2 linked regions of the Ovis aries genome follow. The protein of the gene in region 1 binds, or shares a complex with, the protein of each later gene. Links are inferred from orthologs where the notes say so. Each region holds a gene or a part of one and is shown in the gene's direction. Other genes may lie near its edges.

Region 1 (3,646 bases):
CATAGCCGAGAACCACTCCAGCGTCAAGCCCAGAGCCTGTCCTACCCCATCTTGTTCTCTCCTCTCCCCTCTCCCCACTTCTATCCTCTGGACTCCTCTGCTTGGCACTGGGCACAGGGAGGAGGCCTGCTTGGCCAGAGAGAACTGGGTTCCTTTCTGGTTTACAGTGGCCTCCGCATTGGGGATTCACAGCCCCCGAAGCTGCCAGACACGTGGGCCACCTGGCTGCCTCAGTTTCCTCATCTAGCCAGCACAGGAATTCCAGCCTACATGTTGGCAGGATTCTGAGCTGCGATCTCTCCTTTCCCTTCCTTTGGCTGGCATGTGAGGACGGGTACAGAATGTTACAGCCCCACCCCTTTTTAGTGGATTTTTGATTCATGAACATTCCCACTGTACTTCCCCATGGCCCAGCTCCATGCCAGGCTTAGAGATGCCAGGATGAGTAAAACCCAGGCTTCCACTTGGGCCAAGAAGGGAGTTAGGCACATAAAGAACCAATAGGGAAAAGGCAGACTTTCCAAGCCCCTTGGCGTCTGCTCCCTTGAGTCTCCTGGAATGTCCCTGTTTTGTAGACAGACGCTGGAGTTCCTCTTCGGTTCCCATGCCTACGTCCTTTCACTTTCACTCTCTGTGGGCACTGCACCAGCCCACATCCCTGGACTGCGTGACCATCACAGAAGGGAACCTGCTGTGAGATTTTCTCTGCTGCGTGGGGACCCTGCCAGGGCTTGGAGCTCTGTGAGATCGCTTCCCACGGACTCCCAGGACCCAGAGTCTGAAGGCTGAGCCCAGAGTAAGCCATTGGCAGAGGTGACAGCGCACGGTGTGTGGTGGGGGCAGGGGAGGGCCTGGGCATTTGGGGAGGGGAAGAGTAGATGGGAGTCAGTGCATCCACAGGCTTTGAAAAGCACCACGAGTTTCACTTCACCTGGGTTGGCATCTTTACAGCAGTGTTCTGGGTCTGTCCTGGGGGGGTCGCCGTGGGTTATGTACACAGGTCTGGGCTTGGGCCTCTGTAGGGAACCCAAATACAAGGGAATGAAAGGCATGCCTTCTGGAGTTGCTCTGCTGGGGTTCAGATCCTGGCTCTACCTCAACCCTTGCGTAGGTCACCAAGCTTCTCTCTGACTCAGTTTCTTCATATGTAAAGTAGGGCTGATCCTAGTACCAAATTCAGAGTGGTTGGCGGGGTTAATCGAAAACACTTAGGATGGTGCCTGACATGGTATATGTGGTTAATTAATAAACATTAGCCATTATTGAAGAGAGAGCTATGGTAGCGTGAATCCAACCAGCATAGAAGGGACCTCTCGTTGAGAAATGATTCCCCGATTCCTCGGGAGACATTGCTCCTAATATTAACAGAATCCTTTTTAAATTTTTTAAAAAATTTTATTTATTTTTGGCAGAGGACCAAAAGTTCTTCACTACTGCCCGTGGGGTTTCTCTGGTTGTAGTGAGTGGGGGCCGCAGTAGTGGTGGCCTGTGGCCTTCCCGGTGCAGTGGCTTCTTTCTTTAGGGCATACGGTCTTCAGCAGTTGCGGCCTGCAGGCTCTTTGGTGCGGGTGCAGTAATTGTGTCAGGCTTAGTTGCCCTGCAGCATTTGGAATCTTCCCGCACCAGGGTTCGAACCTTGTCCCTTGCATTGGCAGGCGGATTCTTCACCACTCAACCACCAGGGAAGTCATAAACTTGTTAAACCAGGGATGATGCATAGATGTCGCAGCTAGGGGCCTTAATTTAACTCCTGGCTGCTTCAGATCATCTGTGAGACCACAAGCCAGTTTGCCTTCTCTGAGCCTCAGTTTGTACATCTGTACAATGGGGAGCTTGCCTTGGTAGTGTCTGAGGGTACAGCTGTGGCTGCCTTGGCCTCAGGGTGGGGCAGACTTGCCCTCTCCACTACCCTCCGCCTGCTTTCTGAGAAGCCCTGCGCTGACCTCTTTCTCCTCCCAGATTGTGAAATGTGCGCGCAAGATGCTTTTCAGACACAGAGAAGCCAGCTGGTGGAGTTGCTGGTCTCGGGGTCCCTGGAGGGCTTTGAGAGTATTGTGGACCGGCTGCTTTCCCGGGAAGTCCTCTCCTGGGAGGACTATGAGGGGCTTAGCCTCGTGGGCCAGCCCATCTCCCACTTGGCCAGGCGCCTCCTGGACACCATCTGGAATAAGGGTGCCTGGGGCTGTGAGCAACTGACTGCAGCTGTGCAGGAGGCCCAGGCCGACAGCCAGCCCCCTGAGCTTCCCAGCTCCTGGGACCCCCACTCACCCCACCCAGCCCGTGACCTGCAGAGTCATCGGCCAGCCATCGTCAGGAGACTCTACGGCCACGTGGAGGGTGTGCTGGACCTGACACAGCAGCGGGGTTTCATCAGCCAGTATGAAACTGATGAAATCAGGCGGCCCATCTTCACATCATCCCAGCGGGTAAGCACTTCCCTCTTGGCTCGTCAGATTTCGGAGGAAAAGTGTGCTTAGCTATTGAGACTAGTTCGTGAAATCAGGCCTGTGGGGACTTGTGGGTCATAGTCCTCTTCCTTTAAAGGTGCGTGTGTGTGTGCATGCGTGCGTGTGCATGCGTGCTCAGTCTTGTCAGACTCTCTGTGACCCCATGGACTATAGCCCACCAGGCTCTTCTGTCCGTGGGATTTTTCAGGTGGGAATACTGGAGCGGGTTGCCATTTCCTTCTCTAGGGGATCTTCCCAACCCAAGAATCGAACCCAAGTCTCCTTTGTCTCTGCACTAACATGGGGATTCTTTAGCTCTGTGTCACCTGGGAGCCAGCGGTCTTTCCTGGCCATCCAGTGGTTAAGACTCCACGTTTCCACTGCAGGGTGCACAAATTTGATCCCTGGTCGGAGAACCAAGATCCCAAATGTTGCATGGTGTGGCAAAAATTAATCAATAAAAATAAATAAGGTAGCTGGGAAGGTGAAAGTTGCTGTGGCCTTTTGGTATCATGCCACTTCTAATGCGAGATGTTGTTATGTGGTGGCGAGCATCTTGGATTCTGAAGTCAGGCTGATGCAGGCTCAAGGCCTGTGACTTCAGATTTCTCTGTGGAAGCTCTCATTCCTTAATCTCTCCTGTCTCAGATTCCTCATCTGGGAAACATCAGTAAGGTCTTGGGAGAATTTGATGCGGTGAGCTACATAACTCTTAGAATAGTACCTAGCACATAGTAAGTATGCATTGTGGAGAAGGAAATGGCAACCCACTCCAGTATTCTTGCCTGGGAAATCCCATGGACAGCACAGCCTGGTGGGTTACAGGCCATGGGGTCACAGAGTCGGACACGACTGAGCACTAAGCCACCACCCAGCGCTCATCTGCTCACTGTTTACTATTAGTTCTGTAACTGGTGATGCTCTGTACTTGTTCACTTTCAGTGCCGTCTGCTTCAGATTAACAGCTCAACAGATCACAAACATTTATTAAGTTAAATCTGTGTTTAATAATTAATTCAAAACACTATGTACTTACGTAGTTTAAATGCCCACATAGGACTTCTATATGAAATTGCATTAGCTCATAAACATTCAGGGTTATGATAACTGCCTCTGAAGATGCCATTCCACAAGAACAGAAAAATGTCTTTAGGGTATTTCTGAAGCTCTTGGTTTTGTTTTCTCCCAAAGAGTGACCC
Region 2 (3,746 bases), on another chromosome or scaffold:
TTAAAATGTTTCTCCAAGGGAGATACCAAGAACTTTTCTGAACCTGGCGCATTTTGTAAAAATGCACAGTCTTGGAGTCCCTCTGGGACCCATCTAATCAAACTCGCTGTTCATTTTTAAGCGCCCAAGGTGCTTCTTCTGCACGTAAAAGTTTGAGAACTACTAGAAGTGTCTGGGTGGAAAAACCTCAACCTTAATTCAGGGCTAATATTTACCTTTGAGACAGATTTCGTCAGCATTCCGAAGAGTAAGTGTATGTCCTTGAGCAGATGGGACTACAACGGCTTTCTGGCCGGAATCTTTCTCTTTTTTATGCAAGTACTTCTTGGAAATTGGGGGTTTTCCGCCGAGCAGGTGCTCAGCTGCTGGTGATTACCCACCGTTTAAAGGTCTTTTGGCTCTTTTCCCAGACACCCGATTGATTTGTCACTGTCTCTTTCCAACAGGGAGCCAAGCACTTGCCCCGCCGACCACGATGGGGCGCGCGCGGCCTGTATCGTCTGCTTCTCCGCTCCTTCCCGGGTCCGCCTTCGCGCGCTAAAGGAGAGCAATCCCTGGGAGTTCCTGCCTCTAGGGGCCAGCTGTTGCTCTCTTCTCGCGAGAATTACTTCTCCCAAGCTCTCCCTTCATCAACCCCCCTCCCGCGGGCAGGTTCCATATTGGGTAAAATCTCGGCTCGAGGAGAGGTCCGGGAGCTGTTCTCGCGAGAGCACGGCGGGAGGCTCCTGTTCGCTGGCTCTGGGAAAGGCGACCACTGGAAGCTCCGCGGGCGCTGCAGCTGGAGCTGTGACCCCGCCGCGCAGCCGGGAGTCGGCCGGGTGTGGAGAGAGCGCAGGGAGAGCTGGGCGGGGCGCCAGCCCAGGGCCCCGGAGCGTGCCCCGGCCCTTCGCAGTGCTTCCCCCGCCGTCGGTGAGGCGCGTCCAGCCGCTGCGGCTGACAGGGGCCGCGCGCGCGCGCGGGCTTCTTCAGGGTCGCCGCAGCCGCACCTGCGCGGGCGGCCAGCGCAGGGGTCCCCGCCCGGCCGGGCGGGCTACGAGGTCAGGGGAAGCGGGTGCGGGTGCAGGCGGGGCCCTGCAAGGGCCACCTCCTCGCCCCGCGGCCACCGCTGGAAGATGTCTCAGGAGAGGCCCACGTTCTACCGGCAGGAGCTGAACAAGACCATCTGGGAGGTGCCCGAGCGTTACCAGAACCTGTCCCCGGTGGGCTCCGGCGCCTATGGCTCTGTGTGGTGAGTGTCACCGGGCCGGGGGCCTCGCTGGGCCGGGTGTCTCCGTATGCCCTGGAGTCAGGCCTGCCCCCACGGCTCAGCAATGCACCCAGCGGCAGGAATTTTCCTTGGGGGGAGGGCATCCCAGCCCTCTTCGACCCCTGTCCTGCACTCCCTGTCCCCCTTGCACCCCCACCCTGCACGCCCACGTAGATGGTCAGCTGTGTGTAGGACGCAGGTCCGCTGTGGGCGGTGGGTGATGGTGTTGGAGCCGGGCCCTGACTCGCACCCTGCGCGTTCCCTTGGGGGTGGGGGTGGGGGTGGGGGGGCGGTGCTGCTACGGGGGCAGGAACAGGGGTCCCTCTTCGGAGGTCTCTCCCTGCTGGCATCGAGCAGAAGGACTCTCTCGAGATGTGCCTGCCCTCGGAGCAGACAAGCCCGGGAAGCTGCCCGGAGAAGCAGAAGGGCAAAGCTCGACTGCGGTCATCTGAACAAAACTGAGGACGAAGGGCGTTGAGTTCGGGCTTTTTTGCAAACCTCTGTCGAAATTGCATTTTGAGAAGGGTTCTTTTTGAATTCGCACTTGAATTAGCAGCTATCCAGGGAGCTTAAAATACCGACTTTATCTCGGTGAGCCCTGTGCCAGCTTGAGTGGTGTGTTTCCGATTCAGTTGAAAGCGTATTTCCTTTTCGCAGAGTGGGGGGTGGTGGTAGTGCCTGCAGCTTGAGAAGCTGGCGGCCTCGCTGATTAGTCACATACCACTGCTCATTTAAGTATTGTTTGACAAAACGATTTTCTCCTTTGGAGCAAGTGAGGTTCAGATCCGTTGGACGCCCTCAAGATCAAAAAGTTTTTAACAATGCTGCGATGTATTATAAATATTTTTTAATCGTGATAATTCTTGTGAAACACTGTGTTTTTAAAGTCCTTTAGAGGGTTTGCAGAGAACTTAATCTGCACTTAAGGCCTGAGAGGTACATAATGGTTTTCATGGGATATGGAATATATAGCAAAAGAAGGAAGAGACACTTTTCAGCTTTAATTCACACTATGAATGTCTTTTAAATGAAACGCTACTGTAAAATTTCCAGACTCAGTTCACTAACTTTTCTAACTTCTAAGGTTTTATACACTGTATTTTAGATTTTGTGTAATTTGAGAGCTGACCTGAAGCTAATTCATGTAATTCCTGTGCATGCATTATTTGCAAAGAGGTCTACAAAATTAGTTTTTTGTTTCGGGGCAGGTTCCAGGCTTTTAGACTTGGTAATCTTTGAATATAATTCCTGTGTTTCTTAAAGCCCCAGCATGAATTTCCTGTTTGGTAGAATCTTCTGGGTAATTGAGATTGTGCAATTGTGTCCAGCAACAGATCATATTGCGTTTTCTAGTTCAGGCTGCTTGAGTGATGTCGCTGATGGCCCTATGCTTGACATCTTTTTTCCATTTTTATAGCGTGCTGTTGATTCGCTAATTTTCGAAGATGTGTTTGGATCATTGCTGCTTTAATAGCTCACTTGTTTACGGCCAGTTTTCATTCTGGAATTGACACATTAATTTTTGTGGTACTGAATTTTTGTTTCCTATCATTGTTGTTTAAACTTTAGTGGAGTGATACGGCTCAACTGTGGGGAGTTAGTGAACTGCTTGCAAGGTTTCCCTACAGTTGATGTGAGTAACTCAGCCCTGGCACTGGAGATCCAGTGAAGTGCTGATAAAACATGAACTCCACATTTTTTAGTGCTTTATTTTTCTGGTTTATAGAAGCCATCAAAACTGACACTTGGAAGTAATTTTGTTAAACAGGTTTTTAAAAGTAGGTAGTACATTCACATTGTATAAAATGTAAAAGGCATAGAAAGACAGTGAAAAGTTTCCATTCTCTTTGTCCAGCTGGACTAGTTCTTTTCTCAAGAGACCACCCCTGTTAAGTTTCTTGTGTGTCTTTCTGTGGAGGCAGTTCTGCTAAGGTTGTTTAAGGTGTAACCTATAACATATTGGTGGAGAAAAATAACCAATATTATGTGACAGTTGACCGTAAACAAGTATAGTTGATTTTGGATTGAAAATATCAGAATTTACATTCACATGTGTTATCTCATTCAGAGTAGTTATTTCAAGTTGTTCTTTCAGTCAGCAGCTTTTAGGTGTGGCAGAAAAAAAAAATGTTTTTTAAACTTCTCTTAGAATCCACTTTGGAGCCTGTGTTATTTTTCACTCTCTTCATTTTTTTTTTAGAGCAGATTTGATTTTAGGAAATAACGAAGTTAGATTGAATCCAAATCATTTAGAGAATTTGGGCTCAAGTCTGGTGAAAAAGATCAGGCAGCCAGGCTGGTGATACTGTTTGAGGTCAAATAGGAGTTGTAACCGTAAAGTAATGACACAGAATTTCCTGTGGGACTTGTAGAACTGGATTGAAGTCTGTTCCAAAAAAGAATCTCTGAAAGTATTTCAAGGAATGCAACATCACTGAAATAATGTGTCAGTTTCCTAATTTGATTGCTCTGAAGTGTGATACACTTTGATGTGTTAACT

What was found. Proteins that work in one complex are often made in the same cells at the same time.
Region 2: NOD2 (region 1) and MAPK14 share a complex: the UniProt entries of both Homo sapiens proteins name them as parts of the signaling complex. The link is inferred for Ovis aries from reciprocal best matches to the Homo sapiens genes NOD2 and MAPK14.

Annotation. Positions count from the first base shown.
Region 1 is NC_056067.1:18,618,203-18,621,848, forward strand, and holds part of NOD2 (nucleotide-binding oligomerization domain-containing protein 2), read left to right. Parts: intron 1-575; exon of another isoform or gene 576-826; intron 827-1,959; 5' UTR 1,960-1,967; coding exon 1,968-2,426; intron 2,427-3,646. UniProt on the Homo sapiens protein: Pattern recognition receptor (PRR) that detects bacterial peptidoglycan fragments and other danger signals and plays an important role in gastrointestinal immunity.
Region 2 is NC_056073.1:10,093,705-10,097,450, forward strand, and holds the start of MAPK14 (mitogen-activated protein kinase 14), read left to right. Parts: upstream 1-1,110; 5' UTR 1,111-1,112; coding exon 1,113-1,228; intron 1,229-3,746. UniProt on the Homo sapiens protein: Serine/threonine kinase which acts as an essential component of the MAP kinase signal transduction pathway.